Macaca fascicularis: one gene and its partners. The protein of the gene in region 2 purifies or fractionates together with the protein of the main gene of each other region. This does not show direct contact. Links are inferred from orthologs where the notes say so. Each region holds a gene or a part of one and is shown on either strand. Other genes may lie near its edges.

What was found.
Region 1: the proteins of NCL (region 2) and POLR1C purify together in Homo sapiens (affinity purification with mass spectrometry; 3 studies listed by BioGRID and IntAct, with this or other methods). This does not show direct contact. The link is inferred for Macaca fascicularis from reciprocal best matches to the Homo sapiens genes NCL and POLR1C.
Region 3: the proteins of NCL (region 2) and MYBBP1A purify together in Homo sapiens (affinity purification with mass spectrometry; 3 studies listed by BioGRID and IntAct, with this or other methods). This does not show direct contact. The link is inferred for Macaca fascicularis from reciprocal best matches to the Homo sapiens genes NCL and MYBBP1A.
Region 4: the proteins of NCL (region 2) and RRP1B purify together in Homo sapiens (affinity purification with mass spectrometry; 3 studies listed by BioGRID and IntAct, with this or other methods). This does not show direct contact. The link is inferred for Macaca fascicularis from reciprocal best matches to the Homo sapiens genes NCL and RRP1B.
Region 5: the proteins of NCL (region 2) and RPL8 purify together in Homo sapiens (affinity purification with mass spectrometry; 3 studies listed by BioGRID and IntAct, with this or other methods). This does not show direct contact. The link is inferred for Macaca fascicularis from reciprocal best matches to the Homo sapiens genes NCL and RPL8.
Region 6: the proteins of NCL (region 2) and NCBP1 fractionate together in Homo sapiens (co-fractionation; 3 studies listed by BioGRID and IntAct, with this or other methods). This does not show direct contact. The link is inferred for Macaca fascicularis from reciprocal best matches to the Homo sapiens genes NCL and NCBP1.
Region 7: the proteins of NCL (region 2) and NAP1L4 fractionate together in Homo sapiens (co-fractionation; 3 studies listed by BioGRID). This does not show direct contact. The link is inferred for Macaca fascicularis from reciprocal best matches to the Homo sapiens genes NCL and NAP1L4.

What each region holds. Positions count from the first base shown.
Region 1 is NC_088378.1:128,003,653-128,008,107, forward strand, and holds the start of POLR1C (DNA-directed RNA polymerases I and III subunit RPAC1), read right to left. Parts: upstream 2,960-4,455; 5' UTR 2,939-2,959; coding exon 2,870-2,938; intron 2,743-2,869; coding exon 2,671-2,742; intron 712-2,670; coding exon 604-711; intron 346-603; coding exon 213-345; intron 1-212. Other genes in the region: protein YIPF3, read left to right, coding at 3,244-3,324, 3,960-4,166, 4,354-4,455. UniProt on the Homo sapiens protein: DNA-dependent RNA polymerase catalyzes the transcription of DNA into RNA using the four ribonucleoside triphosphates as substrates.
Region 2 is NC_088386.1:127,382,521-127,387,117, forward strand, and holds the start of NCL (nucleolin), read right to left. Parts: upstream 3,104-4,597; 5' UTR 2,963-3,103; coding exon 2,945-2,962; intron 2,089-2,944; coding exon 1,972-2,088; intron 781-1,971; coding exon 300-780; intron 1-299. UniProt on the Homo sapiens protein: Nucleolin is the major nucleolar protein of growing eukaryotic cells. It is found associated with intranucleolar chromatin and pre-ribosomal particles. It induces chromatin decondensation by binding to histone H1.
Region 3 is NC_088390.1:4,642,260-4,646,640, forward strand, and holds the start of MYBBP1A (myb-binding protein 1A), read right to left. Parts: upstream 3,102-4,381; 5' UTR 3,042-3,101; coding exon 2,844-3,041; intron 2,676-2,843; coding exon 2,580-2,675; intron 1,439-2,579; coding exon 1,355-1,438; intron 1,256-1,354; coding exon 1,181-1,255; intron 1,080-1,180; coding exon 972-1,079; intron 1-971. UniProt on the Homo sapiens protein: May activate or repress transcription via interactions with sequence specific DNA-binding proteins. Repression may be mediated at least in part by histone deacetylase activity (HDAC activity).
Region 4 is NC_088377.1:3,393,093-3,396,907, forward strand, and holds part of RRP1B (ribosomal RNA processing protein 1 homolog B), read right to left. Parts: intron 3,128-3,815; coding exon 3,108-3,127; intron 1,836-3,107; coding exon 1,704-1,835; intron 1,106-1,703; coding exon 381-1,105; intron 1-380. UniProt on the Homo sapiens protein: Positively regulates DNA damage-induced apoptosis by acting as a transcriptional coactivator of proapoptotic target genes of the transcriptional activator E2F1.
Region 5 is NC_088382.1:154,500,556-154,504,889, forward strand, and holds RPL8 (large ribosomal subunit protein uL2), read right to left. Parts: upstream 2,922-4,334; 5' UTR 2,896-2,921; exon of another isoform or gene 2,775-2,895; intron 2,671-2,774; 5' UTR 2,660-2,670; coding exon 2,522-2,659; intron 2,440-2,521; coding exon 2,298-2,439; intron 2,014-2,297; coding exon 1,795-2,013; intron 998-1,794; coding exon 882-997; intron 669-881; coding exon 510-668; 3' UTR 475-509; downstream 1-474. UniProt on the Homo sapiens protein: Component of the large ribosomal subunit. The ribosome is a large ribonucleoprotein complex responsible for the synthesis of proteins in the cell.
Region 6 is NC_088389.1:60,478,995-60,482,809, reverse strand, and holds part of NCBP1 (nuclear cap-binding protein subunit 1), read left to right. Parts: intron 1-1,601; coding exon 1,602-1,709; intron 1,710-2,087; coding exon 2,088-2,209; intron 2,210-3,815. UniProt on the Homo sapiens protein: Component of the cap-binding complex (CBC), which binds cotranscriptionally to the 5'-cap of pre-mRNAs and is involved in various processes such as pre-mRNA splicing, translation regulation, nonsense-mediated mRNA decay, RNA-mediated gene silencing (RNAi) by microRNAs (miRNAs) and mRNA export.
Region 7 is NC_088388.1:2,908,823-2,913,096, reverse strand, and holds the start of NAP1L4 (nucleosome assembly protein 1-like 4), read left to right. Parts: upstream 1-1,384; 5' UTR 1,385-1,485; intron 1,486-1,611; exon of another isoform or gene 1,612-1,932; intron 1,933-4,274. UniProt on the Homo sapiens protein: Acts as a histone chaperone in nucleosome assembly.

The DNA of each region.
Region 1 (4,455 bases), on a different chromosome or scaffold from region 2:
AAAAAAAGAACTAGTAAACATCTGAGTGCCAGCACTATGCTGAATGCTTTACATATGTGTCCCATTTAATTACGGCAAACTTGGGAAGCCAAGGCAAGTGTTCTCACAGATGAAAAACACTGATGTACAAACATAAGTAACTTACCCAACATCACAGTCAACCAGGATTTGAACCCAGACAGTCCACTTCTCCCAAAATTTCATTTTCTTACCTTGATTCCGATACTCAAAAAGACGGGGATCAGCATGAATGGGAATGAGCCCCAGACGGTGAGCAAGGATCTCATCCTGAACAATGGATGTATTATTGTACACCAGGACCTTCTCCACAGCCATAGTTGGCACCTGCCCAAGGAAAAATAACCACTTATCTGCAAAAACCCAACAGACCCCCTACCTATCCCCACAACCCCACCCTCCAGAGGTAAGGAGCTATCTCTCTTCCTAGAATGTTTAATGAGAAATTTACAAAGAATGAGAAGGTAAAATGCTCAGCAAAATTCCAGGAAAAATGAGGGAAGGACAGCTTGAGACAATTCTCCAAGTGAGGTGTCAGTGCAGTTCCCAAAGCAACTCCAGCCTTGTCACCATGCCTGCCAATACCTCAGCTAACAGAATTCGTCGAAAAGCATTGGCAATGGCTGCGTCAATTCCCACCATGTCGAACTCCAGTGAGTTTTCATCCATGTGTACTACATCCACACGGAAATTCTAGAGGGACAGGAAAAACATTTAAGTGAAACCTGCTCTCTCTGTAATATCTCTTCATACCTCCCCCTTAGATAATTCCCTCAAGTATTATCCTCTCATCCAAAAACCTCCCTTTGCCCAGATGTCCCTTATTAAATATTCTTTCTCGCCCAGTGCTTTAGTTTCATAAAAAGTCTCCATTTTTGTCGTCCATTCATTAAAACCCTATGCAATATGGCTTCCAACCAAACCATCCACAGAAGCTATTCCACTAAAGAACAGAAACTACCATAGTGCTTAGTCCTGTTGACACTACCCAGTCCTCTTACTAGACTTCTGTTATGCTTGACATTGATTAAAAAACCTCCTCTGGGCCCAGCACGGTGACTCACACCTGTAATCCCAGCACTATGGGAGGCCGAGGGGCGGATCACAAGGTCAGGAGTTTGAGACCAGCCTGGCCAGCATGGTGAAACCCCGTCTCTACTAAAAATTCAAAAAATTAGCTGGGCATGGTGGCGCGTAGCTGTAGTCCCAGCTACTCGGGAGGCTGAGGCAGGAGAACTGCCTGAACCCAGGAGGCGGAGGTTGCAGTGAGCCAAGATTGCACCACTGCACTCCAGCCTGGGAGATAAGAGTGTCTCATGAAAAGGAAAAAAAAAAAAAAAATCCCCTTTTTTGAACGATTCCCCTGGTTTCTGAGCTCCACTCTTCTTCCATCTCTGATGATCAACTTCCACCCATCTCTAAATTTGCCAGGTTCTTGTCTCTCTCCCAGGTCACCTTAACTGTACTAACAGTTTTAGCAACTATCTGTTCTGACAACTCCCAAAATTTTATCTCACTTCTGATCTCATTTCAAGCATGCAGTCTTCTAGCCTGCTAGATTTCCCCACATACAGAAAACAATGCATCATCATCCCTGTTCCCCAGACCCATTTCTCCTCTTAGTAAATGATACCACAAAGCAAAAAGCAGTTCCCAAGCCAGAAAAAGTCATTTTATGCTACCCCCACAGCCTTTATCCAAGCAATCATAAATTTACCTTATATTCTTCCTTTGCTCTATTTCTACCATCAGTCTTAGTTCATATCTTCAACCTCAGCTTCCCTTACGACAGATCTGCCTGCTCCATATGATCCTCCTCAAACTCATTCCCTCCCAGCCATCAAGGTTGCAAATCTGATCATGTCTGCTTAAGAAACTATTCAAGCTCCCTATCATCCACAGTGTGACACACTTCAATCTTGCCGACCACTCATGCCAGAACTACTTGGACATTCCCGGAGCACATGTCACAGAAGTCATAATTTTTTTTCAAGCATTAGCCTTTTTCATTGTTCATACTTTATTCCTTGTATCAACAGGTTAAAAAAGTAAAATTTTCCCAGGCACTGATTTACACATCATGTTTATAAGCTGCATAAAGGGTAACATTTAGGTCAGTTGCATAAAGGGTAACATTCAGTAATCTATTTAAATGCAATTTTAACCCTTATTTTAAGCTAAGTGAAACAATAATACAAAAGACTAAATACACACAAAACCTGCATATCCTGAACTTCACTGACGTGAAACTCAAATCTTTCATAATTCAACTCCTGTTTTTTTTTTTACTTACCATTCAAGGTTCAATTCAGGTGTCCCCTCCTCTTGAAATGTTAAGTACCTCTCGGCCCCTCTTCCTGGTCTCAGCGGAATGCTCCCCACCCCAACCCTGCCGTCTTCATCGCTATCAACCACCTTCACCATATTACACTAGATGCACTTGTTTATACGCACCATTCCTCAACAAGACGGAATATCTCTGCAGAGATAGAAACCGTGTCTAATTTGGCCTGTAAACGGAGCGTCTAGCACATTGCTCAACAAACACAAACGGAGCGACCCCCAAAAGCAGCTGCTGAGACAGACACAGGCTGCTCAGGCCACAGGGTCTGGCCTTCATAACCCTCCCCAGACAACTTCGGCCCCACTTACCTTCTCGAAGCGGTCCTGGTCCCAGGCATCATCATAACCGGAATAGTTTCCGGGAAAGTCAGTGGTATGGACCTAGAGCAAAGGGACGAGTTTGTCCACAAAGGGACAATGAGCCCACGGCTATCCCCACGCCAATCCCAAGACCCACCCCTGTTCCGCTCTCATTCCTCCCGCCCGAGCTCAAGGCCACAAGGCTTACATTGCGAACCCCAAACTCCCCTAGAACCACGCGGCCCCGCATCTCCTCCACCGCCTGAGAAGCCGCCATCTTCAATCTCTCCACGAGACTGGAGGCTCTATCTGGCGCGTGCGTCCTAGTAGACTGGCTCCGTCTCCGTGGCAACGCGCCACCGCCTGGAATCTTAAATATCGCGAGACTTTTCCCCGCTTCCGTCCACGTCCCCAGCCTCCGGAAGTTGGTTTTGTCCAAACATCCGGGCTTCTCTTTTTTGTGTTCCGGCCGATCCCACCTCTCCTCGACCCGGGACGTCTCCCTCACTAAGGCCCACGTCTCGCCCACTCCTCCGCGCGCGGGGCTAGCGCGGGCTTCAGCGACGGGAGCCTTCAAGGGACATGGCAACTACAGCGGCGCCGGCGGGCGGCGCCCGAAATGGAGCTGGCCCGGAATGGGGAGGGTTCGAAGAAAACATCCAGGTAATGGCCCCAAGGCACTAGCTGCCAGCAACCCGAGGGCCAGCGATGTCCAGAAGTGTCTTGAGGATTCTCCCTGTGGGCCTGGAAGTCCGCTCCATTTGCAAAACTCTCTTCTTTGGGTCTTCGTGCACACTAAAGTCAGTAGGATTAACATTGACCTGAAAGGGCCAGACTAGTACTCCAGCCTGAGGGTCTCGGGTCTCTGGGCCCGCTCGAGGCATTAGGAAGAAGGTATTCTTGGAACAAGTTAGGAAGTTGGTCGGGGTCAGGCATGGAGTGGGGTTGGGTGGGGATTCACTGGCATTCGCTGAAAACATATTATGTGTATAGTTTTGTTTGGGGCTTAGGAAAGAAGGAAATGGGCACTTTTTCAGCCTTTTAGTCTTTGGTAGGTAAGGTAGGAAAAAGACAGGAATGGAAGACTAGTAGTATGTTTCCCAGGCTAGAAAATTCAGCCAAAGCTAGAAACCAAGAGTTCTGAGAGCATATGAGGGGGAATGGAGTGGCATGATCTGTAGTGATTCCGAGCCGTATCCTCAGCAGTGGAAGAACAAAGCCCTAAACCCTGGGATGAGCAGAGGACTTAATGGATGGAACAGAAAAGTCCTGCACTCTAGGAGCCATTGTCTTCACAGGGCGGAGGCTCAGCTGTGATTGACATGGAGAACATGGATGATACCTCAGGCTCTAGCTTCGAGGATATGGGTGAGCTGCATCAGCGCCTGCGCGAGGAAGAAGTAGACGCTGATGCAGCTGATGCAGCTGCTGCTGAAGAAGAGGATGGAGAGTTCCTGGGCATGAAAGGCTTTAAGGGACAGCTGAGCCGGCAGGTGGCAGATCAGGTAAGCATGATTGAATCTTCTGCAGGTGGAAAGGTATACCTAGGTATGTCCCATGTTCTGGAGTTGGTGTTGGTGATGTTTGCCCCAGGTTGTCCAGTTAGAACCATGTAGAAATCAAGCGGAAAATAGGCAACAGGGTCTAGAACCAACAGTCCCACAATACCTATGCCCATCTTCCTTACTTCAGATGTGGCAGGCCGGGAAGAGACAAGCCTCCAGGGCCTTCAGCTTGTACGCCAACATCGACATCCTCAGACCGTACTTTGATGTGGAGCCTGCTCAGGTGCGG
Region 2 (4,597 bases):
CCAGCCTAGGAAACAGCAATAACTCCCATGTCAAAAAAATTAAAAAACAAAAACAAAACAAAAAAGATCACTAAGAAACAAAATCCTACATTATGAAAAACACTCACAGAATGTGCTGTTGAAATTTTCTCAGGAGGGACAAAAATCATTCATGGGTAATTAAGTCTAACACACAACAGCCCAGAGAATTCCCACAAGGACTCTACTCTCATCTCCAGGTTGTTGTGGAATATGTTGATCCCAGAATCTCAAGATATCTTGCAATCAGAAGCCCAGTAACTACCAAGACAACTCCTTACCATCTTCCTCATCGTCATCATCCTCATCCTCATCATCTTCATCATCCTCATCATCCTCATCCTCTGAGGCAGGGGCAGCAGCTGCTGCTTTCATCACTGCTGGTTCAATTTCATCTTCATCCTCATCTTCGTCCTCATCATCCTCATCATCTTCCTCACTGTCATCCTCCTCCTCTTCATCACTGTCTTCCTTCTTGGCATTCTTACCATTCTTTGCCCCCTTGGCTGGGATGGCAGCACCCTTCTTACCAGGGGTTGCTACCAATGCTTTGCCTGGTGTGGCTCCCTTCTTGCCAGGTGTGGCAACTGCTTTGGCTGGTGTCACTGTCTTCTTGGCAGGTGTTGCTGCTGCCTTTTTGCCTGGAGTGACAGCTGCTTTCTTGGCTGGTGTGGCAACTGCAACCTTTTTTGTTGGGGAAACTACCACCTTCTTTGCTGAGGTTGCAGCAGCCTTCTTGCCTTTCTTCTGAGGTATGACAACCTTGAGAATAAATGAAAACCAAACCAGTAAGTCCAGCCCCACACCCAAAAGGATAACCATGGTCCCAGTGAGTGTTAGATTCTGGCAATGCTTCTGGTTCAAGACCACATGCGCTAGACACATGTTAGCATGTTAAACTCCAGGCTTCTGTTATGTTGTCTTAGGTCAGAGCCCTTATTATCAGGTGAATACCCAGCCATAAGGAACCCTTTTGAACACTTAAAATACCTCTGAACCAGACCTCTGAATTCTTGCACCTCATATTTTCCCAAACCCCAACTTTCTCATCTGAAAATGGTAATAGTATCATATTACACGTATAACAATAATGAATTGCTATGCGTAAATTATTCAGAACCTTACACCTAGGAGGCTCCAAGCATTAACGTATTAAATCATTTGGGGCTCCTATGGTGGATGGCAGTACTGAGTCCAGTGAAGCTCAATTCTTGGGACCTGAGATAAAATGAAGATCAAATAGGCTAAACATAACTATCCCTTACAAAACTATCACACATCAAAGAGTGAGCATGTTAGTTTGATAAAAGCCATCGTTTAGCTACATGAAAATCCCATAGTTTTATTAGGCAATGTGTGGAAGAATAAAACTTTTATTCAATTCTCAACGAGAAACCTGAGCACAATTCAGTGCTCAGATGTCTTTACAGTGAGCAAATAAAAGGCCAGGACTGCCAAAGAGTAAAGAGGGTCAATGTTAACACAAAGAGGTGGCAGCCCTCAGTCTACACCAAAGATAACTATAACGCAGTGAGTAGAATTACAAAGTTTATATATAATGGAATGGAGACCAATTAATCTTAATTGGAGGCTAGGAAAGGAATCTGGGAAGGTTATCCTCAGATCTGAATACAATGCCCAGCTCTACATGTCGGGGTGAGGCTAACATGTTGAAACTGGAAAAATTTAATGATTTAACACAACAAATCACACTCCTTGCCCTGCAGAGGCACATGGAAAGGAGATCCCCAGACCTCTTGTCTCAAACTCACATTCAAATACTTAGCCAAATGACACCTTGACATGTCAGTGAAGAGCTTGTGAAACCACCACTACAATAGGACATACCTGGATGAATAAAATCTTATTTTAGCCACAGACATCCAATTTCATGTCTTAACTCTCCATTGTTGTAGTTTTAACACAATTCTGCATTAAGCTAGATAAAATTACCTCTTCTCCACTGCTATCATCTTCTTCATCTTCTGACATTTCTTCATCTTCACTATCTTCTTCTACCTCCTTTGGAGGAGGAGCCATTTTCTTGGGGTCACCTTGATTTTTACCTGCCTAAAATGGACACAAGTAGGTCATTACACCTCCACCTCAACATTTCAGGCCATTCATATTTTGCCATTACTGTTCATAGTAAAACGCCATCATCTCTCCTTTCTCAGATCCATTTCTCATAGTGCCAAACAGCACAACATCAAAACGAGTCCTGATGGCAATGCAAGATGGACTACTCTCAACCGCCCACAATTTTCCTCCCGGGCTTCACAAACAGAAAACCCGCCCGAAGGTAAGAAGTAACTACCTTGGTTTTCTCATGAACATTATGCTTTTCCCAGCAAGACAACCCCGCCCCTTAAAGAGGCGGCGCGGCCACGTGGGGGTACCTGGTAGGCCACCACGTGCCCGAAACACGGCGCAAAAGGCACGCGGCAGAGCCACCTTCCGGGGCCCACCACGTGTCGGCTTGCCAGGCCAGGACTCCGACTAGGACGTATACCGCCATTTCCTGGCGCAAGGCACCGGTGCCTCTGGAGATTCCAGGACCCACGCGGCGCGGCCCACGTGGCAGGCCGCGCACCCGGGCACGTGCGTCAGGAGTCGGGTCCCGACTCGTATGCGTCGCAGGAGTTTGGTCTCATCTCCCCACCCCGGGGCCCAGCGCCCCCTCCCCGCGCTCAGTAACTCCGTCTTTCCCGCCGCGTTCGCCGCCCCCAGCACCTGCAGAAGCTCTTCACCTCGCCACCAACTAGCCAGAAGCCGCGAGACCTCCCCACTAATCGCGCGAGACTTCCCGCAGCATGGCGCCCTAGAACGCGCCCGGGACTGCGCGCAGGCCCTCCTCCCCGCGCCGCCGCGCTCGCCCCTCGGAGAGCAGGCCTAGACGTCTGCGCTCGCGCTCAAGGCCGTTTACCTTCGCGAGCTTCACCATGATGGCGGCTTATGGCGGCGGAGTGTGGAGCGGAGAAGTGGCGCAGATGAGTCCAGAGGAAGCCAAGCGACGGCGATGGCGGCCGCGGGTGCTGAAGATCCCGGAGCACGTACACTCGAAGGCCAGCGAGAGCTCGAGACTGAGGCGAAAGACTGAGCCTGCCCAGTAATCGCCTGTGGAAAGGCGACGACGGCGCCCTCGTGACTCCGTGCCGACCAACCAGAGCTCGCGGCAGTCCCCCTGAGCCAATCGCGAGCCTCTAACCGAGAACGGCGCGGGGCGGGGAGTGGGCGGGCCGAGGCGGCCACGGGAGGGGGAGGGGCTGGCAGCCGTGCCGTGGGGGCGGGGCTCGCTTTGTGCAAGGCGGGCGCTGATTGGGCCGTGGGCGCGCGGGTCCCGGCCTGCGCCGTGGGACTGGCGTTTTTGGCGCCGGCTGTGAGGGGACCTCGGGGGTGGTGGAATCGGGCGGTCTAGGGATCTCCAATGTGGCTGGCTCCCTAGGCTCGGGCAGCCTTGGAGTTCCTCAAAGACCCCGCGCGCGGCCCCGGCACGCACTCACGCCGGGGCTCCCGGTGGCCCTGGAGAAAGAAGCCCGCCAGCCCCGGAAGTTCAGGGACCGCGGAGTTCCCGTTGGCCCTTTCGGAGGCACAGCTCAGCCCTGCTTGCCCGCGAGCATGGGACTGGAGACACCCCCGGCTGCAGGCAGCCTTCTGAGAGCCGTTAATAAAGGCAGTCGCGGGTCTGTGCGAGGTTTTTCTGTGAGAAATGCACGAACCTCCCCTACCCCACAGAACCTCAGGCGGGAGATACTTCTCGTCATGGGGAACGGCCTCGGAGAAGTAACTTTCTGGCCTCACAGGGCAAGGAGAGGGGCCTGGGCGGGCCGACCGCAAAGCCGGGCCTTTGACCGCCCACAGGTTCCCTGGTTGTTATTTGCGTCGAATGCGCCAATTAAGGTGGTGGCTGCTAAGTCAGTGTCACCAGATGGCTCGGGAGCAGGTCGAGAGCCACCGGCAGGGTTCCCCGGCGGCAGGGCGAAGGAGGCCGGAGTGACTTCCACGGTTAGCTTTGAGGGTGGGCCTCCCTCGATGCCGGGCTTAGCAACAGAGCATTTCCCTCCGTCCAGGGCCTGCCTGGGATCCATCCAATCCATGGGTCCAGGTATGGATCCATCCATACCTCATTGTTCCTACAGAACCAGGATACCTGCAGCTACGGCTGTACTTGTTAAAAATCACCTCAGGCGGGGCGCGGTGGCTCAGGCCCGCAGTCCCAGCACTTTGGGAGACCGAGGCGCATGAACCGGGGAGTCGGGGATTGCAGTGAGCCGACATCGCGCCACTGCACTCCAGCCTGGGCGACAGAGCGAGACTCCGTCTCAGAAAGAAAGAAAGAAAAGTGTTTGTTAAGGCCAGGCGCGATGGCTCATGCCTGTAATCCCAGTACTTTGGGAGGCTGATGCAGGAGGATCGCTTGAGTCCAGGAACTTGAGACCGGCCTGGGTAATATAATGCGACCCTGTCTCTACAAAAAAATAATAATTAGCGGGTGTAGTGGCACTCGCCTGGAGCCCCCAGCTACTCGGGAGGCTGAGGTGGGAGGATCGCTTGAGCCCAGGAGGCGGAGGTTGCAGTG
Region 3 (4,381 bases), on a different chromosome or scaffold from region 2:
TTTTTTTTTTAGTATTTCAGAGGACTAGCTCATTTCACACACAAGGAGCCCTGGGTGGAGAGCTGGGATTCAAATTCAGGTCCTTCCGGCTCTGAGGTCAAGACTGCACAGTAAGCCCCGGCCTGGGACCTGCCAGCCCCTGCCTTTCTCTTCAGTGGCAAAAGGGCCTAGGTGCTACCTTCCCAAGTCGGGCAGTGGAGGCCCACGAGGGGCCAGCCTTGACTAGGATAACAAGGCAAACGTTTTATATATTTGTGACGCGCCAGGCACAGTTCTGGAGTTGCACTGCCCAATACAGTAGTCACAGCCACACGGGGCTGCTGAGCGCTTCAAAGGTGGCCAATCTGAACAGGGATGTGCCTAAGTGTAAAATACACACTGGATTCTGGAGACTACCTGACAAAAAGTGTGTAAGAGGCTGGGACCGGTGGCTCACGCCTGTAATGCCAGTACTTTGGGAGGCCGAGATGGGCGGATCACAAGGTCAGGAGATCGAGACCATCCTGGCTAACACGGTGAAACCCCATCTCTACTAAAAAACAAAAAAAATTAGCTGGGTGAGGTGGCAGGCGCCTGTAGTCCCAGCTACTCGGGAGGCTGAGGCAGGAGAATGGTGTGAACCCGGGAGGCGGAGCTTGCAGTGAGCTGAGATCGTGCCACTGCACTCCAGCCTGGGTGACAGAGCGAGACTCCGTCTCAAAAAAAAAAAAAAAAAAAAGCATGTAAGATACCTCAACGGTTTTTTATACCAATGCATACTGCAGTAATATTTTAGATATACCAGACGAAGTAAAATGTTACTAAATGACACCTGTTTCTTTTTACCTTTTCGACTAAGTCACTGAAACACTTCAAATTATACATCTCTGTATTTCTATGGAACAATGCTGTTCCAGACTCTCATCCAAGCCCCGATGATGTCTCTGTAACGGGAAGCGCTGGCCGAGCCCGCACAGCGGGTGAGCTCGTACCTCGGAGAGGACGTCCAGCAGGGCCTTCCCGGGCTGCTCCTGCAAGTGGTTCTGGTACTGGGCCAGGGCCTGCAGCAGCTTCACGGACTTCATCAGGGCCTCCTGGTCCTGGTCCCCACGGAACGACAGAGGGTATGAACAGGGCACACTACTGTCCCCTACCCATTCCAAGTCAGCCTACATTCCCCCAGCCCCTCCAAAGCTCTTACCTTCACCAGCCGGCCTGACTGAAAGAGGGCGAGTACTCCGAACAGGTTTGCAAAGAGAGCAGGTCTCAGCATTGTCTAGAAAAGGATTCCAGGCACAGGCATGAGGGGCCCTGGGACTCCCCGTTCCCCAAGCCTCCCACCCCTGGGGCTGCTGACGTCCCTGGATCCACTTACCTTCTTCACCTCACACAGGTCATATTTTTCTTGTATCTGCTGCAGGATGCTGCACAACGGGAGGTCCTCGAAAGACTGTAACAGCTGCCAGCAGTTGTGTGGCAGGAGGAAGAGGGGTTCAGGAGAGTGGCCCAGCTACATCTTCACAAACTTTAACCTCCTTTCCCCTTTCAACTTCTCCCAAGAAGCCTCAGGTCCCTAGTCCCACCCCAAGGACGCCTCTGGAGCTGCTCACATGGAACCAAGTCTCATCCCCCTGCTCTGTCTCCACCAGGGCTTCTGAAAGTACTTTATGAGATGGAGTCTCGCTCTGCTGCCCAGGCTGGAGTGCAGTGGTGCGATCTCGGTTCACTGCAACCTCCACCTCCTGGGTTCAAACGATTCTCCTGTCTCAGCCTCCTGAGTAGCTGGGATTACAGACACCCACCACTACGCCCCGCTAATTTTTGTTGTTTTTTTTCTTTTCTTTTTTTTTTTTTTTTTTGAGATGGAGTGTTGTCCTGTGGCCCAGGCTGGAGTACAGTGGCGTGATCTCGGCTCACTGCGGCCTCTGCCTCCTGGGTTCCAGTGATTCTGCTGCCTCAGCCTCCTGGATAGCTGGGATTACAGGCACACGCCACCACGTCCAGCTAATTTTTGTATTTGTAGTAGAGACGGGGCTTCACCATGTTGGCCAGGCTGGTCTTGAACTCCTGACCTCAGGTGATCCGCTCACCTCAGCCTCCCAAAGTGCTGAGATTACAGGCATGAACCACAATGCCCAGCACAAAAGTACCTTCTATAGCCCCTAGATTGCTCGTCTGAAATTCTCACCCACTGGGTCTTCTCTCCACACCTGGTCTGAGCTCCCCTCAGGCTGATCCTGCAGGCCTGGGTCTTTATTGTTCTTCCCCTTGTCAAGGCTCCTCAGAGGGTGGTCTACTGCAATCAGCTGAATGCCTTTGCAGGCCTAAGGGAGCCCACCCAGCGCGCACTGCTCCCAGCAAGTGTACCTAAGAGGCCGGGCAACCCAAGCACCAAATAGAAAACCTGGCCAGGCCTTGCTCACACTTTCTCCACCTTTATGTAAGGAGACCTCCCTCAGGTTGGCCTCCAATCAACTCTGCCACTCCCTACCTCTCTCTCGGGCTGCCCCTCCGCCGCAGCTGATACACCACACCTGCCCTCCTCACACCCCACCGTTTTGACCTGGATGGCTGGGATCCTGCCAGGAGCACCACCTCACCTGTGCCAGGGCCAAACTGTAACACGGCCGGGCTGTTTCTCGCGCAACCCCGAGTCCCGTGATTAGGCGCTTCAGGGCATATTTCATCTCGGACCCCTGCAGAACCAAGCGCACCCTCGTGTTCAATGGTGAAACAAGGTGCACGCCCCCGCGCACCTTGGCATCTAGGTTCGCGACCACGTGCCCCCCGTCCCAAATCCCTGGCCCGCCGCCTCTTCCTTGCCGGGATATGCGCGGCCCCTGCCCCAGACCCCGCCACTCCACCTTCGGCCTGCCGCGCAGATACTCCAGCAGCTTCTCCGTGGCCGCAAGTCGCGTCTCCTGCTCAGGCTTCGCAATGTCCCAGAAGAAGTCTAAGAACTCGCGGCTGTGCTTCAATAGGCCATGGCGGTCGGCAGGCCGGGCGCCACTCTGCGTCGCCTCTCCAGGAGACAGCGGCTCGGCGAGTTCCCTGCTCCCCATCCCCGCCACACTCACCGAAACACAAAACACGTGTGCCCCGGGCCCAGCAGCTTCCAGGTCAGGGCATGGCGCATGCGCACCGGTAGTGTCGGCGCGGAGGCGGAAGAACCTGGAGGGTCGGGGAAACCAAGAGGGGCGGGGCCACCGAGAGGGGCGGGGCCGGGGCGGATGACCCCCCCGAAAGGCGGGGAAGGGGCGGGGCCAGGGAAAGCGGCGTTTCCGCCTTAGCTCTGAGCGGAAGTCCCTAGCTGAGCGGCGCGTGGTCTTTCCCAGCCTTCTGCTCACACCCGTACTTTCCTGGCGGCTGTGGCATCTGCCCCTTTGGAGCCCCTTGGGGGCATTGCTGAGGGCCCATCTCGGAAACAAACCGAGGTGTAGCACATCGATCCGCCTCGTCCCCGATCGGCCCCTGCGCTCCGAACGTTGAGCCATTCAACAATTACTGGGCTCCTGCTGCGTTCCGTGCTAGGCGGTCGGAACAAAGCCGCTGCTCTCGTGGAGGAACACGGAGCCAAATGCATTAAAAAGGATCATAATTATGAAGAGAATTAGGAATGCAATTCTAATTGCAGGAGCTTTTTAAACGCTGGAACGTGAATACATCACCCGTTAAAAACACGGCTAATTACTATTAAATAGGGTCTACAATAATGATTTGAGGGGTTGGTCAGGGGAGGCCTCTGTGAGGAAGTGGCTTTTGGGATGAGAGCTGAGTGACAAGAAGGGCCCCCCTTCCCCGCACTCCTGCAAGTATCTAAGGGGACGAAATCCCAAGCCTTGCGATTTACAAAGGTCCAGGGCTGGAGGGGCTGAGGCTGGCGAGAAGCAAGGTTGCATGGGCCCCGGGCTAGGATTTCATTCTGAGGGTGATGGGAAATCACTGGTGAGTTTAATGCAGGGTCAGGCTTGGATCTGATTTACATTTTAACAAGATGATGCTGGCTGCTGTGTGGGGGATGGACTGTAGGTCTGCGCAGGTGGAAGCACGGGAAGACCATTTAGAAACTGGTGAACTGGACCCAGGGAAAATGAGAACAGGTCAGATTTGGGCTAATGTGGAGCAGGTTGGGGGGGTGATGGATTTGGATGTCGGGGAAGAGGAAATGAGGGGGATGCCAGGTTTGGGACCTAAATAACTGGGTACATTGTGATGCCATTATGGAGAAGAATTTTCTTGGGAGTGGGAGGTGGAGGTGGTGGGACCAAACGGTCTATTAAATCAGAGAAGCCTTTTACAATGGCAGGGGAGGGGAAGTGCTACTTACTGGTCACCGTTGCTTCTTGGTTTGAGAAGCTGTGTATAGAGGGCTGTGGTCCAGAGAGGACCTAACCCTGGGGGG
Region 4 (3,815 bases), on a different chromosome or scaffold from region 2:
GCGCGATCTCGGCTCACTGCAAGCTCCGCCTCCCGGGTTCACGCCATTCTCCTGCCTCAGCCTCCTGAGTAGCTGGGACTACAGGCGCCCGCCACCTCGCCCGGCTAGTTTTTTGTATTTTTAGTATAGACGGGGTTTCTCTGTGTTAGCCAGGATGGTCTCGATCTCCTGACCTCGTGATCCGCCCGTCTCGGCCTCCCAAAGTGCTGGGATTACAGGCTTGAGCCACCGTGCCCGGCCGAACATGCCCTATTCTAACTGCTGCTGAGTCCAGAGACCTGGCTGCCAGCCCCCACCCTTCCTCTCAGGAGGCAGTGGAGCCCCCCGGACGCGTTTGAGCGCCTCTGCGGCGAGCTGGCCTGCGGGTGCTCCCACCTTACCAGAGCCTGGGCTTGCCTGGCTTCGGACTCCAGCGCCCCGTTGTGCTCTACCAGGTCTGACATCGCTCTCATTTTCCTCCTCTTTTTCAAGCTTGCTGTTTTCTGGCTGGACAGGCCACAGAGCTCCAGGCTGCCAGGCCCTGCCTTCTTCTTCTGCAGCCTCCTGCACTGGGGCAGGGTGGTGTGGCTGTTCGCCCTCTCCGCGGGGCCTGTGGGAGGGCCTCCCTGCTGCAGTGGAGGCCAGGCAGGCGTGGACAGGCCACTGCCATTGACAGGGACAACTCCAAGCTTCCGCTTCCTTTTTAGGAGTTGGGCTCCACCTGTTGGGGACCCTCTAGGTCCCTGAGGATGACTGCCACTGGGGCCACTCTGAGACATGTCCTCTGGGGGCAACCCTGCTGATGCCGACATTTCCCTGTGGGCCCTTGGACTCTTCTTCCGTGGTCGTTTCCTTTTATTGTGCATGGGGACGGCTGGAGGATGCTCGGAGCCACTCTCCTCCCCGGTGCTGGACGTGGCCTCTGCGCCTGGCTCGGCCACACGTGCCTTCAGGGCTTTCGGCTCAGCGGCCTCAGACTCCCTGCCCCTGTTCTGTTCCAGGGACGGGGCTGCATCCCCTGGGCCTGGACTTTCAGGCTGCAGGTGGTGCTTCTTCTTCTTCTTCCTTCTTCTCTTTTGAAGACTGCTTTCACTGTCCTCTTCCTCTGCACAAAACACTCTGCTTCCTAAAAACACAGAAACCCATCAATAAGCCTCCCAGTGCCGGCTGGGCCAGAGTCCTGCTGGTGATTCTGAGACAGTATGATTGGCGGACACAATTTCCTGACATTCTACCACCAGGAGAGTTTCTGTCTCCCTTGAGGTACTCAGTGTGCCCACTACCTTTGTCGTCTGGTCCTACTTCCTCCACTCCCAACTGTGACTGGAAGCCCTCCTTTTGTCCATTTATAAACACACATAGAACTGAAATAGTCCGATTTCCACTAATTTTAGGGCCCAAAGGTAAAAACCATAGATCTAGACTGGTCATCAAACAGCTGCCCCCCTTGTGCTCCTTGCAGCTCCTGCTTCCCTGCAGAGGTGCCCTGGGGAGCAGGCGGACGTGAGCGGGGTGAGGTGGGGACATGGTTCCACCGAAACAGCAGAACACTTGGTAAACCACCTTTACCTCTCAGCCATTACAAACCGAAGCTTTGGGCTCTGCTAATGCTTTGTGACGGCATGAGCTCCAGTCTCTGATGCCTCCGTGGTGCACGCCGCTCCCCAAGGGCTCAGTCATGAGCCCTCAAGAGAAGGGCCCTTCTCTTCAGCTTCACAGCTTACCTTTCTCCTTTTCCAAGTTAGTTTTCTCTAAAAGTTTATTTCCTTTCTTCTTATGCTTTCCTTGACGGAGGATTTGGTCATCTTCATCAGCAGAAATGTCCTCCGCAAAACTCAGTTGAGATATACTGCTTCCTAGATGCCAGAGTGACACACTGTCAGCTTCCCCAGGCGCTCGAGAGTCTGCCCCAGGGGCCTAAGAGCCCCCTCCCAATTTCTGCCTCATCATGATCGTTCCTCACTGTTTCTCCCACCCAAACCTGAGCGCCGCTGACACAGGAATTACAGACTTAAAAAAGCTTTGTGGGTTTCTCAACCAAGGCAAGGGATCACAAGCCCTCGGTGACACCCTCCATGGCTGGACTCTGGGGGCCTGGCTAATGTGGTCTCTGCATTCCAACCAGCTCACTGGTGCCCTTCCCAATTCCAAGTGTCCCTAGTGCATGAGGGGTATGGGGTGACTTCACTGACTTGTCCAAACGTAACAGCAAATGAAAGGGATCCTGAGAAATTACATTTTACCTTCACAGAGTATCCAATTAAAACCTTCCTAGGCCACTGCAAATCCATCTAGTTAAAACAATAAAAACCAAACCAAAACATCGCAGTATCCACACATGAGAGCAGTCTGCCCTCTCACTTTGGCGGTTAGGGGAGAGCCCAGGATAGGAAGGTGGGCAAGCTGCAGGGGGCCCTAGGCTTGTGTCACTTCCCATGGCTGTACTGTGGTATGACTAGGTAAGGGCTAGTCTTTCTTTCTTAAAAGCTGGGGTCTTGGCCGGGCGCGGTGGCTCAAGCCTGTAATCCCAGCACTTTGGGAGGCCGAGATGGGCGGATCATGAGGTCAGGAGATCGAGACCATCCTGGCTAACGCAGTGAAACGCCATCTCTACTAAAAAAAAATGCAAAAAACTAGCCGGGCGTGGTGGCAGGCGCCTGTCGTCCCAGCTACGCTGGAGGCTGAGGCAGGAGAATGGCGTAAACCCGGGAGGCGGAGCTTGCAGTGACCTGAGATCCGGCCACTGCACTCCAGCCTGGGTGACAGAGTGAGACTCTGTCTCAAAAAAAAAAAAAAAAAAGTTGGGGTCTTGCTCTGTCACCAAGGCTGGAGTGCAGTGGCGTGATTACAACTTACTGTATCCTGGACCTCCTGGGCTCAAGTGATCCTCCCCTCTTAGCCTCCCAAGTGCTGGGACTACAGGCTCATGCCACCATGCCTGGCTAATTTTTTCATTTTTAGTAGATATGAGGCCTCGCTATTTTGCCTGGGCTAAGGACTATTATTTCTTATTAGAGGTTTTCAGTAAAGTTCTTTCAATCTTGTTTCTCAGCATTTGGCATCAACGCCCCCAGTGGGGTCCATATTCATGAAAAACACCGTGAATGATGATTCTCGGAGCACCTCACCTTCAGAGAGGTCTTGGAATCTAAAAATAAAAAATAAAAATAAAAAAAATTAAAAAAAAGTATCAAATGTTCATAAAGAAATCCCTTCTGTCTTCTGTAGACATATGTATTTAATTTTTAAAATACAAGCCATAGTTAAATATTTGTTAGTTCACGTTCTCCTCCAGGAGGGGAGGCTAGACAGGAAATTCCGTGAGGGAAAGGTGGTGCAATACAAAGGCCAAAAAGCTCAAGGCCAGTGCCGCCCTCGGTTACTGTCAATACCAGCAAGGACATGGCAGGCCAACGATGCACCTTGGCACACCCAAATCAAACTAAGAAATGCAATTTTTTGTTTTGGAAGGCAGAAGTAGCTTAGATCTCTGCTTATGTTCAATTCTCCAGTGGAGAAAGGCAAAGCTGTGTTTTGCTTTACACAATTTTTGTGCATTAGAACAAACAAGAAGCATCGAAGCGCAGTGTGGGCAGGTGCACGGGGGAGGAGACACTGGATGGCAGGGACCTCGGGCAAGCTAGGACCACCCTGTGCCCTGGGAACCCAGCTGGGAAATGGGCAGAACTACAGGAGTTACTTTCTGGGGGCTTAACATGGAATACTTGAATGTATGCAAAGTGCTCAGAGTAGTGCCCGGCTCCTAGAGTGTGATCAGACAGTTGTCACTGATGACAGCAAGCCACGCATGAGGCCCTCCGTGAATTCCAGGTCAT
Region 5 (4,334 bases), on a different chromosome or scaffold from region 2:
TCCCTGGCAGTGACTTTACAAAAACACACTGACATCAGCAGGACTGTACCCAGTCTGGAGGGGAACGATGTAGCCATAAGACCGTGGGCAAAGGAACGCCTCAGGTGCTGAGCAAGTTAGCAGTGAGCCGGCAGAGTGAGGGTATGGTCCAGAACACCAGGCTCATGATTGTGTCCTGTTTCCTGTTCCTCAGTTTCGTCATACGTGAAATGAGTGCTTACATCCAAGCACTGCAAGCCATGGTACTGAGTCACCCACCTAAGTGTCTTGGTCCCCTCTGTGGGGAAGCAAGGGTCTTGCCCAGGGTACCTGCACCTCACTTCTAGTTGTAGACTTTTCCGTCAAGCTTCCACCACTCATTGGTGGTCTACTCCAGTAGTCTACCTTCCTCCCAGTACCAACGAGGGGGATCCCACAGAAATCCTCCCAGCAGGGACCCCTCCCTTTGAAACTATGGGGGTGGGCACAGCCTGGTGGCATAAAGACAAACTTTATTGAGGCTCTCAGCACTAGTTCTCTTTCTCCTGCACAGTCTTGGTTCCCCGGAGACGTCCAGTCCGGCGGGCAGCAATGAGACCCACTTTGCGGCCAGCAGGGGCATCTCTGCGGATGGTAGAGGGCTTGCCGATGTGCTGGTGGTTGCCACCTCCGAAAGGATGCTCCACAGGCTGTAGGCAGAGGAAGATGGCTTTAGAATGCGGGTGAGCCCACCTCCTTCAGGAGGGTTGGAGCAAGATCAACAGTCCTGTGACTACAAACCACCACCCACTGCTCCTCCCACTGCAGATGTCCCTCCTGCAGGGCCACCTGTGGATGGGACTTGCCTACTCGTGTGGCCATGGTACCTTGAATACCCAATCCTGCATTTCTGCGTTACTTACATTCATGGCCACACCCCGTACTCGTGGCCAGCAGTTCCTCTTTGCCTTATATTTGTGGTAGGCCCGGCCAGCCTTCAAGATGGGTTTGTCAATTCGGCCACCTCCAGCCACCACACCTGTAAAGGAGATCAGGTACCTCAGGGAACCTCTAGTCGGTCAGAGCACCCCCACCTCCTCTCCTCAATCTCCTGTCATGCACCTTCACAATACTACATCCAACTACCCAGCAAAAAGCCCACTTGCCTCCACCCTAGAGAGCCCCTTGCACCCTGTGAGCCGACATCCAGTTTCTTCAATCCACACTGGGCAGTCAAGCCAAGGCCCTCACCTCCATCACCCAGAATGCTGGCTGAGCTCCAAGCGCAGGGAAGCAACCCCCTCACCATGTTTGAGACATCCGACATGTCACTCAACCTGACACAGGACACTTGATTCAGCCTGCCCCATCTCAGCGTTGCTTATTCCAGGAATACAACCTCAGGGCCTCCCCTGTGCGAGGCTGAGTTTGTAACAAGGATTCCAAGATGTTCCCAACAGCACAGCGAGTTAACCGAGACTCAAATCCTCCTTCACTCACTCAGTAGGTGATTTTGAGAAAGTGACAAATCTCTCCCTGCCTTATCTGAAAAGGCTGTTAACCAAGTACAGCAATCAGGAAGCCCAAACTAGAATTCAAGTCCCAAGTGACTTAATCCTAATCTCATTTAACGCCACAATAGCAGCAAGGCAAGTACTATCGTGTTCATTTTACAGTGACGAAAACTGAGACTACACAATAACCTCAAACTTACAAAACCCAAATTTTGAAACAACAGGTAATTCCAGGAACCAAGTCTAGCCACTGGCTGTCCGCCGGCGCTCACAGCCTGTTCACCCAACAGCCCTCAGCATTCAACTACTGCCTGGTACTCACCAACCACAGCTCTGTTAGCTGAGGAGATAACCTTCTTGGAGCCGGAGGGCAGCTTCACACGGGTCTTCTTGGTCTCAGGGTTGTGGGAGATAACGGTGGCATAGTTCCCTGATGCCCGGGCCAGCTTGCCACGGTCTCCAGGCTTCTCCTCCAGGCAGCACACGATCGTACCCTCAGGCATGGTGCCCACAGGGAGCACATTGCCAATGTTGAGCTGGGCTGCAAGGGGAAGCAGCATCAGGCCGTCAGCGCGGTAAGAGGTAATGCGACCCCACTCGCTGTAAGCAGCCCGTGAAGTTGCGAGCACAGCATTCAACATCCAGCCTCCCGGTGCAGCTCTCTGAGTACCCACCGGTGCCCAACGTAGCCACTGGCCTGGCCACGCGGTGGCCCACCCCAACTTTCTGCCTGCGAGGTTCCCACACCGGTTTAAGACGTTAACTCCTCAGACAACACCCAGACCTCTCCCCACCCCGACCTTCCTTCCCCGCTGCGATGCTAACCCTTCTTGCCGCAATACACAAACTGTCCCGTGTGAATGCCCTCGGCGGCAATGAACAGCTCCGTCCGCTTCTTAAACCGGTACGGATCCCGGAAGACCACCTTGGCGAGCGGCGCGCCGCGGCCCGGGTCGTGGATGATGTCCTGCGGGCAGGGGCGGCGTAAGTGCGGCGTTCCGGCCGGGAGTCCCGTCCCCTCCCGCCCCGCCCTGGCCAGCGTTCCGCACCTTCACGATGCCCTTGATGTAGCCGTGCCGCTCGGCGAAATCCACGGCGCGCAGGCGCGCAGCGCCCTTACGGTGCTTCACGTGCGCGCGAAACACAGACCCAGCGCCCTTCCTCTGTCCACGGATCACACGGCCCATGGCGATGGGTCCTGGGGGCGACTCACGGTTAGCGCGTCCGGGTGGACCCGGCACCCCCGCCAGCCCGGCTTTCCGGGACCCCGCCTCCAAGGCCGCCGCACGCACCACCCCCTACCCTCTCCGCGGGCGTCCGCACCGCCATCCTCTCAGGAGGGCCGGCCCGCGTCTCAGCGCGCCTCAAGGAGGAGGATGGCGGCGGATACTGCCCATGCCGCAGCGCCGCATGCACGACCTACCAGCTCACTAGCGCGGCCGAAAGAGGAAACGCGGTGTACGCGAGCCGCCTTATCTTCCGGGGCGGGGCCCAGGGCCGCGACACCTTCCGGGCGCGCCACGGCCAGTCCAGCGCGGTGCACGCCGGGGCTTGTAGTCACCAGTGGCCGCCGGCCCTGCCTACTTTTCCGCCGCTGGGGCCCCCGCGCAGGCGCACCGGGAGACGCGGCGCGCGAGGTCCTGCTGGCGCGGGCTCTGAAGGAGCGAAAGAGTGCTCGGCTTTCACCCGGGTCTCCGGGAGGGCAAGTGTTCTCTGAGTGGTCGAGGAGGCGCCGAGTGGTTGAGTGAACTGTGCAGGGCGTCACAGATCGACCCACTCCGGGCCACGGAGTCTGGGGCTCCCGGCTTTGCCTGGTGAGGGGCTTTCGTGTAGGCGGAGGGGTTCTCGCTGATGCAGAGCAGGAGATGGGCAGGGGAGACGCTTGTACCCCCTCGTGGAACGTCGTGGTTTGCAGGTGGCAGATGACCGTCTCCCTGATGGACGGGCGCTGCTGGACGCGGGGACCTTGTCCACTGTAGGCCCTTGGAGAGGTCGGGCGTCGAGGAGAGGAGCCCGGGGATCCTTGCCGAGGGTGAGGGCCGGCCGGCCCAGGAAGTGGGGAGGGCCAAGCTGGAGGGTCCCGGGGCGAGGAAGAAGGAGCGGGGATGGGCTGGGTCACATGCTGCGGGGAGAACGAATAATAGGAGACTGGACCGTACCCTGACCAAATTCTGTGCGGGAGAGGTGGGTGGGGAAGGAGCAAGAAATGGAAACTGGGAGGGGCAGTGGGGGCCTGAGCTGGAAAGAGTCAGCCCGACTGGGGGTGTCCAGCGGCACATGCTGGGGAGAGGGGCTTCGCGAAATCGGGTCCCTAAGGGGTGGGACCCCGAGGCTGGGGGCGGCGGGTGGTGGGGAAGAGGTTTTTCAGGAGAGAGCCCCTGGCTGAGTGAGCACTGTCGGAGCACAGGCGAAGCCGTGGATGAGGAGGCAGCAAGGAGGTGAAGGCAGGGGTCCCAGTGGGTGGGAGAGGCTTGCAGTCAGGACTGGGAGGTGGGGTATTTCCTAGACCCTGCAGGGGCTCTGGCAGGGTTGACATCGTGAGAAAGAGACAGGAGAGGGTGGAAGGGGTGTCCTGTGGCCGCTGCTGCTCATAGGGGAGAGAAGGGGCTGCTGAAGGAGGCCCTCCCCTAGGGTTGGCAGGGGGATCAAGGAGGAGCTGCCGGGTGGGGACCCAGGAAGCAGCCCAGCCCACAGCAGGGCCAGGGGCTGAGGGACAGGACTGGACCCCAGGGGCAGGGTGAGGGGTTCTGGGATCAACCCAAAATTGGCCCACAGGCCCAGCGTGTCCCTCACTCCTGAGCAAATCTGCTTCTCTGCAGGAGCAGAAGGAGAGTTGGGTGCGGGATAGAGGTGAGAAGAGTG
Region 6 (3,815 bases), on a different chromosome or scaffold from region 2:
TCTGTAACTGTGTCTCCATCCTTTCTCCTGAGCTCCAGTCCAGTATTCCAGATGCTAGCTGCATAGCCTTCAGATATCTTACCAGGAAGTGCCTAAATTAATGTAGCATTCATACCTCCTTTTTTCTGCCCTTTCCCCAGCTCATACAGTGGCCACTGTGTACTGAATAGCCCATCTATAAAGCTGAGCTTTAATTTTTGTCTTCCCTTTGCCTTCTTGTACCATAGGTGTTCCCAATCCCTGTCAATTCTGTCTCCCTAATTTCTCTCAAGTCTGTCCTGTCTTGGTCTCCAGGGCCTCTAGCATAGTTTATGCCTTCCTCCAGATGTTCTTAATAGCCTCTTAACTGATCTTTTTGCATCTAGATTCTGTTTTTCACTTTGTGTTCTACAGTGGCACCAGACTGGTCTTTCTGTAACTAGGCTCTGCACATGTTGGTTACTGGTTAAAAAACCCTTAGTTCCTTCCCATGGCAGTGTGAGTGGTCTTAAAAGCCTGGTGCACAAGATGATTCCTTGGGTTGCAGAAAGTGAATATTGAGAACTCTTATTTATCTTAAGTGGAAATGAAATTAAGCCTTACTAATAATACATAGATTAATGGTGATCCAGTGTATATCATAAATAAATATGTATGTGTTGAAGATATGTGATCAAATTCTTTTTTACTGAGTACACAATCAAAAAAGTTTGGATACCGATCAGGCTATAGGGTTAAAGTCCAGACTCTTTAGCCTGACCCTTTATGGTTTCCCCAGTGTGTTTCTCTATTCTTGTCTCCCATACACTCTCCAGCAATATCAAAATAACTTGCAGATCCCAAAACACACCTTGTTTTTGAAGCTGTATGCCTATACTGCCCTCATTGCTCACTACTTGAGACTATTGCTTATCCTTTATGATCTAGCCTAATTGTTACCTCCTTTGTGATGCTTTCCCCAACTCCCTTTGTCATTGTTCCCAAAAACACTTAATTTGCCTTTTAGTGTGGGAGTCACTCATTTGTATTGAGATTGTGCTTGTTCCACTAGAATGGGTCCCTTAACAGTTGACTTTTAGTAGTGTTTAGCAATAGCACACTGAGCACACCCAATAAATGTGTTCTGTAATTTGCATTTCTGTAATTCAGTAAAAATTACAGTCAAACAGAAAAGAAGCTTATAGGTTGAAGTAGCTAGAATATTTTACAATCTGGATTGTTGATGTAATATAGCATAGAAACCTATGAACTCACGGATTGCTGTCCTTTATATAGTTTTTGTTACAACTTCTCAATTCTGCCATGGTAGCACAAAAGCAACCATACACAATATGTAACTGAACGAGCATGGCTGCTGCAATAAAAGTTTACTTATGGACACTGAAACTAGAATTTCATGTAATTTGTATGTGTCATAAAATACTCTTTTTTTTTTTTTCAAGCATTTAAAAATGTAAAAACCATTCTTAGTTCCCAGCTATGCAAAAAACAGGTAGTAGGCTAGATCCAGCCCTTAGGCTATAGTTTTTCAGCCCAATAGTTTAGGCTGTAGAAGATTGCTTGTTTTGTAGTTATTATGAAGAACATTTAGATTTAATAGCAGAAATTGTTTGCCCCAACAGGTCCGTTTTTTATCTGATCTTGTGAATTGCCATGTGATTGCTGCCCCGTCAATGGTTGCCATGTTTGAAAATTTTGTAAGCGTAACTCAGGAAGAAGATGTGCCTCAGGTAAGAGAACCCCTCACGCTGAATCTTGAGGGGCTCTTGAGGGGTTACTGAATCCTGGTACTTCCATATAGTACCAGAAATCTTTCGCTGATAATCCATTAGCAGTAAAGAAAAAACAGCAGACTATCACACTGTAAGTTCTTACTATCTAAAAATTAAGTTGACTGGCACACTGGTGGGTTCTCATAATATCTGTATGTTGATTTAAATGATGCTGTCCAGTAAGATTAGAACTAATATATCTGGAAATGCTCTGTATAAACCAGATGTCATAAGTCCTATTAAATAGCTTCCATAGGATTTCATTCAAGAATAAATAAAATATGAATGAATATAATTAAAGCATATTTTAAACTTAACTTTTTAAAAATCCTTTAGGTGCGGCGAGATTGGTATGTGTATGCATTTCTGTCATCTTTGCCCTGGGTTGGAAAGGAGTTGTACGAAAAGAAAGATGCAGAGATGGACCGCATCTTTGCCAACACTGAAAGCTATCTTAAGTAAGGGCACAGCTCATAGTACTCTTTGTTGCTTAGGTAAAGGATATCTTATATCAGTGATATCATTTGAGTTTCTCAAAAATAAGCTGTAGAGTTCCTGAAGGTATTTTCTAGGTAATCCTGTTCTCCTGCTGTTTTAACTCACCGAGACCTCAAAGTAATCAGATATGGTTTGCTTACTTTTGCCAGTGCACAGGACAGTTGGTAATATAGCTTCTTTTAAGCTGCTTTTATATGTTTATAAAAGACATAAAACACCCTAGTGCAATAGTTCCTCAAATATTAGCGTGGATAAGAATTACCTGTGGTACTTAAATGCTCAGACCCCAACCCCCAGACCTAATAAATTATACAATTTGAGAGAGAGGTTTGGACATCTGTATTATTAACACATTTCACAAGTGGAGAACCACTGCCCTAGCACATACAATGTGTTTATTTCATGTAAATTAATCCTAAATTAAGCTCTTAAAACAGTGGTCCTTAACCTTCCATCCAGGCAGTACTTCTTAAGTAATATGACACATTTCAATTAAAATAATCACATGTCTTCCCATTACCCATCTCTCCCAAGCCGATGTAAAAGCTTGGTTTAGATTGTTAGATACAATGATAATAAATAGGTCTTTTTAGTAAATTTATGCTTAACTATCCAGCAACATGGTAATGGTTATGTGGCCCTTAAGTTTTTACAGATTGATTTTATTGTTAAATTTCACTTTCTCTTTTTTAAGTACTTTTTTGGATAACTGTTAATAGCTACTTAGTTGATTATTAAGTAAAGTTAAAAGAAGCTTAAAAAATAAGAATCTTTTGGCCGGGTGCAGTGGCTCATGCCTGTAATCCCAGCACTTTGGGAGGCCGAGGCGGGTGGATCACCTGAGGTCAGGAGTTCGAGACCAGCCTGTCCAACATGGTGAAAACCCATCTCTACTAAAAATACAAAAATTAGCCAAGCGTAGTGGAGGGTGCCTGTAATCCCAGCTGCTCGAGAGGCTGAGGTAGGAGAATTGCTTGAACCCAGGAGACGGAGTTTACAGCGAGCTGACATGGTGCCGCCAGTGCACTCCAGCCTGGGCGACAGAGTGAGACTCTGTCTCAAAAAAAATCTTTTGTGTGTGTATACATATCTTTTCTCTTTTTTATTCAAGTGATAGCCCAATATACACACTGTTCTTCACTTGGCTTTTTTCTTTTTCTTACTATAACTTGGATTTGTTGCATAAAAATACTTCATAAATCTTTTTAATAGTTGTAGGGTATTTCACTTTTTAATGTACCATAATTTCTGTAGTTACTGTTGGTGGACATTTAGGTTATTTTCAATCTTTTGCTATTATAAACAATGTTTCAGTTAATATCTTTGTATGTCTTTGTGTACACGTGCAGATATATTTATGGGGGATATAAATTTTTAGAAATGGCATTACTGGGTTGAAGGTTCTAAACAGTTTTAATTTTGATAGATTTAGTCAAATTACCTTTCAAAGAGATTATACTCTCCCAAAGAGATTATACCAGTTAACCTCTTTGTCAACGATGTTTGAGACTGAATCTCGACCTGCGTCTTGATGATACACAGTACATTATCAAAACTGTTGATATC
Region 7 (4,274 bases), on a different chromosome or scaffold from region 2:
TACAGGCCTGAGCCACCACGCCTGGGGAATTTTTTTTTTTTGGAGCGGGGGAAAGGTGCTCTCACTATGTTGCCCAGGCTGGACTTGTTGTCTCTACCTCCCAGAGTGCTGGGTTTACAGGCCTGAGCCATGGCGCTCCACATTAAATTCTTTTTAGAAATGAAGTTTCACTATGTTGCCCAGGCTGGACTTGAATTCCTGGGCTCAAGGGATCCTCCTGCCTCAGCCTCCCAGGTTACCTCTGAGGTTTATAACTGACGCTATGTTCTTAATCCCTCAACCAGAAGCCTTTAGATGGTTACAAATTTTCCCCATTACAGGCATGACTTGCTAATAATAATAATTAGCAATTATTTCAAAAGTAACCTCACCCCCAAAAAAAGAACGTTTCTGAAAAAATGCACAAAAGACTTGAAGACCCCCAATGGCACGGTTGAACATGGAAATGACTAGCCTCAAAAGCCCCCAGCGCAGGGGTTATTTTCCGATCAAATCGGATGTCTTTCTACAAAATGTGATGTGGAGAGGCTGGGGCTATTACCTTCACCCCAGCCCAGGGGGCACCCTGAGAGGGAGAACAGGGTGGGCGAAACGGGCCAGCTCCTCCCCAGCCCCCCGCCCTGCTCTGCTTCAGGGGCCTGATCTGAGGGCCCAGTGCGCACTGTTTTTCCTCCTTGTCCGACAGTGTTTCCCCCAGGCCAGAACTAGGTGGCTGGGACACTGCGGGGCTCAGGGCGTGCGGGAAGAGACGCAGGAAGTGGGTAGTCCCGTCGTGTCCGCGGAGGCGACCCAGCCCCGACCTTTTCGCAGAGGAAGTGTTATCCAGCCTGGGACCTGGGGGATGAGCAGGGGTTAAGCTTAGGTCCCAACCACTAACGGGACTGGTTGAAAACGGCTCCCAGGCGGTGGGGCCCCCCGCGACGTTCTCAAGGAGTAGCGCCAGGGGACGACGTGGGAGGTGGGGTTCTCACACCAGCGGGCGCACGGACGGCTGGAGGCACCGACCCGCCGCGGACGGGATTGAACTAGGGAACTGGGAGGGCGCAGGAGATAAAGACGGCCGGGACCCACGGAGAGAGGTGGTGCCCAGTGTCCCGCGAGGATGCAGTGCCAACTGGGGAGGGTCCCGGGAGCGGGGACCCAGGCCCGCGCAGAACCACACACGTGGTCTGCACCTCGCCCCGCCCCATCTAAAGAGGCGGAGGAACGCAGGGCGAGGGCAGCGCGGAGGAATATTTGCATAAGGCGGGGCGATTCTTCGGTGGCTTCTGATTGGCTGCCGTCTGCGGCGCGAAGCGCAGTTGACTTGCGCCGCGCTCGCCCAATCGCAGCCTGTCTTGCTCGCGGAGAGAAGAGCTAGGAGCCTCGGCCAATGGGAGGCGGCGTTGTTGGCGGCCACGGCGGCGCAGCCCCAAAGCGAGCGAAGCCAGGGTCGCCGCCAGTGCCGCAGGAGGCGTGAGGTGCGGAGACGCGGGTGCTGGGCCGGTAACGGCGGCTGGGGAGGGCGGCTGGGCCGGGGCGGGCGGGAGGGGCCTCGGGGCCGGCGCGGGCGCGGCGGCGGCCATCTCTGGAAGCCGCGGGGCGGTGGGGCAGGGGCGGGGCCGCGTCCTCGTCAGAGCAGGTAGCGGCGGCCGCGGCGGGCCTGGAGCCTGGGGCTTGGAGCTTGGGGCCTGGAGCCCGGGCCTGGGGCGCTGGCGGGCGGCCCCTCCCAACTCCCGGCGCGCCTCTCCCGGCTGCCGGCCCCCCTGAAGGTCAGGGCGCTTTGTTCTGCGCCGCGGGCGGCCTCCTGGGCGGCGGCCCCGCGGAGGAGGCGAAGACGGCTAGAGGCGGCGGCCGCTCAAATCTCCCGCTAGCCCGGCCCGCCCCGCGTGCGGGGGCCGCGGCGGTTACACGGCCGGGCGCGCCGGAGCGTTCAGGCTTCCCGTTTTTAAGGTGGAGACGTCCAGGACCTCTTTATTAGATGTTGATGAATTTGAGTTTTTCCGTAGGGCGATGGTCATCGTGAGCCTCTGTGGGGTCAGGCTGCGCTAACTGGGGTTTTGATGTCAGTTTGGTGTGGCCGAGGGCATGTCTGACGGGGAAGAAAGTCCTTGGCGTTGCTTCTTAGCTGTTGGGAGCTGTGCGGTGCGAGCGAGATGGGCGGCGTGCGCTCCCCGAGGACTGGCCTGAGTAGCCTTAGACTAGTTACTCGCGGGACTTGGTTTCCCAGCCAAGGTGGGCAGCAAGTCTGTTTACTGTTTAAAACCGTCTTTCACAAGGGAAAAGCAAAATCTCCAAAAAAAAAAAAATTGTACATGTTATGAATGGAAAAGTGCCATGCTTTTCTTTCAGTTCAGAGATGGTGAAAGAGGTCACATTTGTATTTTTTGACCTGACCAGTGTCTTTGTTTTTTTCAATTTTCCCCTTCTAAATGCTTTCCGTTCACCCCAGCGAAGGATGGCCTGGTCATGATAAGACTTTTCACCGTCCACAGTTCACTAAGTCTGATTGCGGGGCAGGAGGCAGACAAGTTTAGGGTCCAGGAAAGGGGACTCCAGCCTTGGGACCTTTAGACCCTAACGTGTGTGTCACATCACCTGCCTGAGTGACTCTGCGCTCCTCTGGCAGGAAGGTCCGCCATTTCATTATGTTCTCGGCAGAATCGTCGGGGCACATTCATCTGTGCTGTTCACATACCCAGTCTGCATTACTTTTTCCTGTAGTAATCCCTGTCTCATCTTCCTGCATTAGGTGTACGGTATAAAATAGACTTTTAAAAGTTATCTTACCTTAAAAATATACAAGTATGTAGATGAGGTTGTTGGACCTTAAAGGTAAGTCTTTTTAAGTTACTGCCTTGCAATAGGAACTATATCTCTAAATGACTAATACCTGCACTACGCACCAGGGACTCCTTCAGCCTGTTTGCGTGTATTAACTCATTTCGTAATCTAATAACTTGTGAGATAGATAGTATTGTTTTTCCATTTAACTACTCTGGAAGCTGAGGCCCTAGGAGGTTACGTATAATGACTTGTCCAAGGTGATAAAGCTTAGGTAAAGACTCAGGCAGTTTTAACTTTACCCAGGGTTACTGCTTCTGTAGAGGGAATGAAAGAATTTTTAATCAGAAGTTGTTTTCATCATTGTACTAAGCCTCACTGAACTCTAGCTTACGAGGTTTTGAGCTGGTTGATCATTTCCATCTCAAATTATTCCACAGCATGCCAAATGCCTCCTGTAGTAGAATTTTGAGATTCAGACCGGGATGAGCAATTACTAATAGAATAAATAATATGCAAATGTAAAATGAAGTTAAGAGAAAGGAACGTGGTGATAGAATCGGGATATATTCCAAAGATAAAATGAGTGACTACAGAGAGAGAGAAAAGTTAGTTATTTAGTAGTAGTTCACAAGTTTACTTAGAGACATTTTTACTAGAATTTTAGGGCCTCATGATGTGATTTTTATGGACCGTTTTAACACGTTACTGCTCTTTTTTTTTTTTTTTTTTTTTTTGAGACGGAGTCCCACTGTATCGGCAGGCTGGAGTGCAGTGGTGCGATCTCCGCTCACTGCAGCCTCCGCCTCCCGAATTCAAGCAATTCTCCTGCCTCAGCCTCCCGAGTAGCTGGCACTGCAGGCGCCCACCACCATGCCCGGCTAATTTTTGTGTTTTTATTAGAGACGGGGTTTCACCATGTTGGCCAGGGTGGTCTCGATCTCTTGACCTCGTGATCCACCCGCCTCAGCCTCCCAAAGAGCTGAGATTACAGGGGTGAACCACCGCGCCCGGCCTACTGCTGTCTTAAATAGCTGTTATTACATATCCAGTTGCAGCCTTTTTTTTTTTTTTTCTGGTTGAGCAGTGTTATTGCTTCAGAATGTCTGCAGTTATTTGTGCCTATATGTCATGGCATCTTAACACTTTTGTGAATTTTGTTTTGTAAGCTTTAAATCCGGTACTATTTTTCAAAATGAATATGGAGTAGTCATTGGAGAAATTGGTTGAATTCTTTGCAGTAGCAAATAAATTGTATTCATTTTTAAGTTTGATAACCTTGGTAAACTGAATTCTGCAAAGTTTACACGTGTTTTAGGATCCCCTCAAAATGTACAGGGCATTGTGTTTTGCAAAATAGCCATTTAGCCATCAGATTCTTCTGTAGAATTTTGATCTTTTTGCCCATGTGCGAGGTAGTTCTTATTTGTATGGAGATTAAGTACCTGCGGATGGGATATGTTCATCACCACTTTACAGTATGAATTTGAACTTGAAACTGAAGTGAAAAC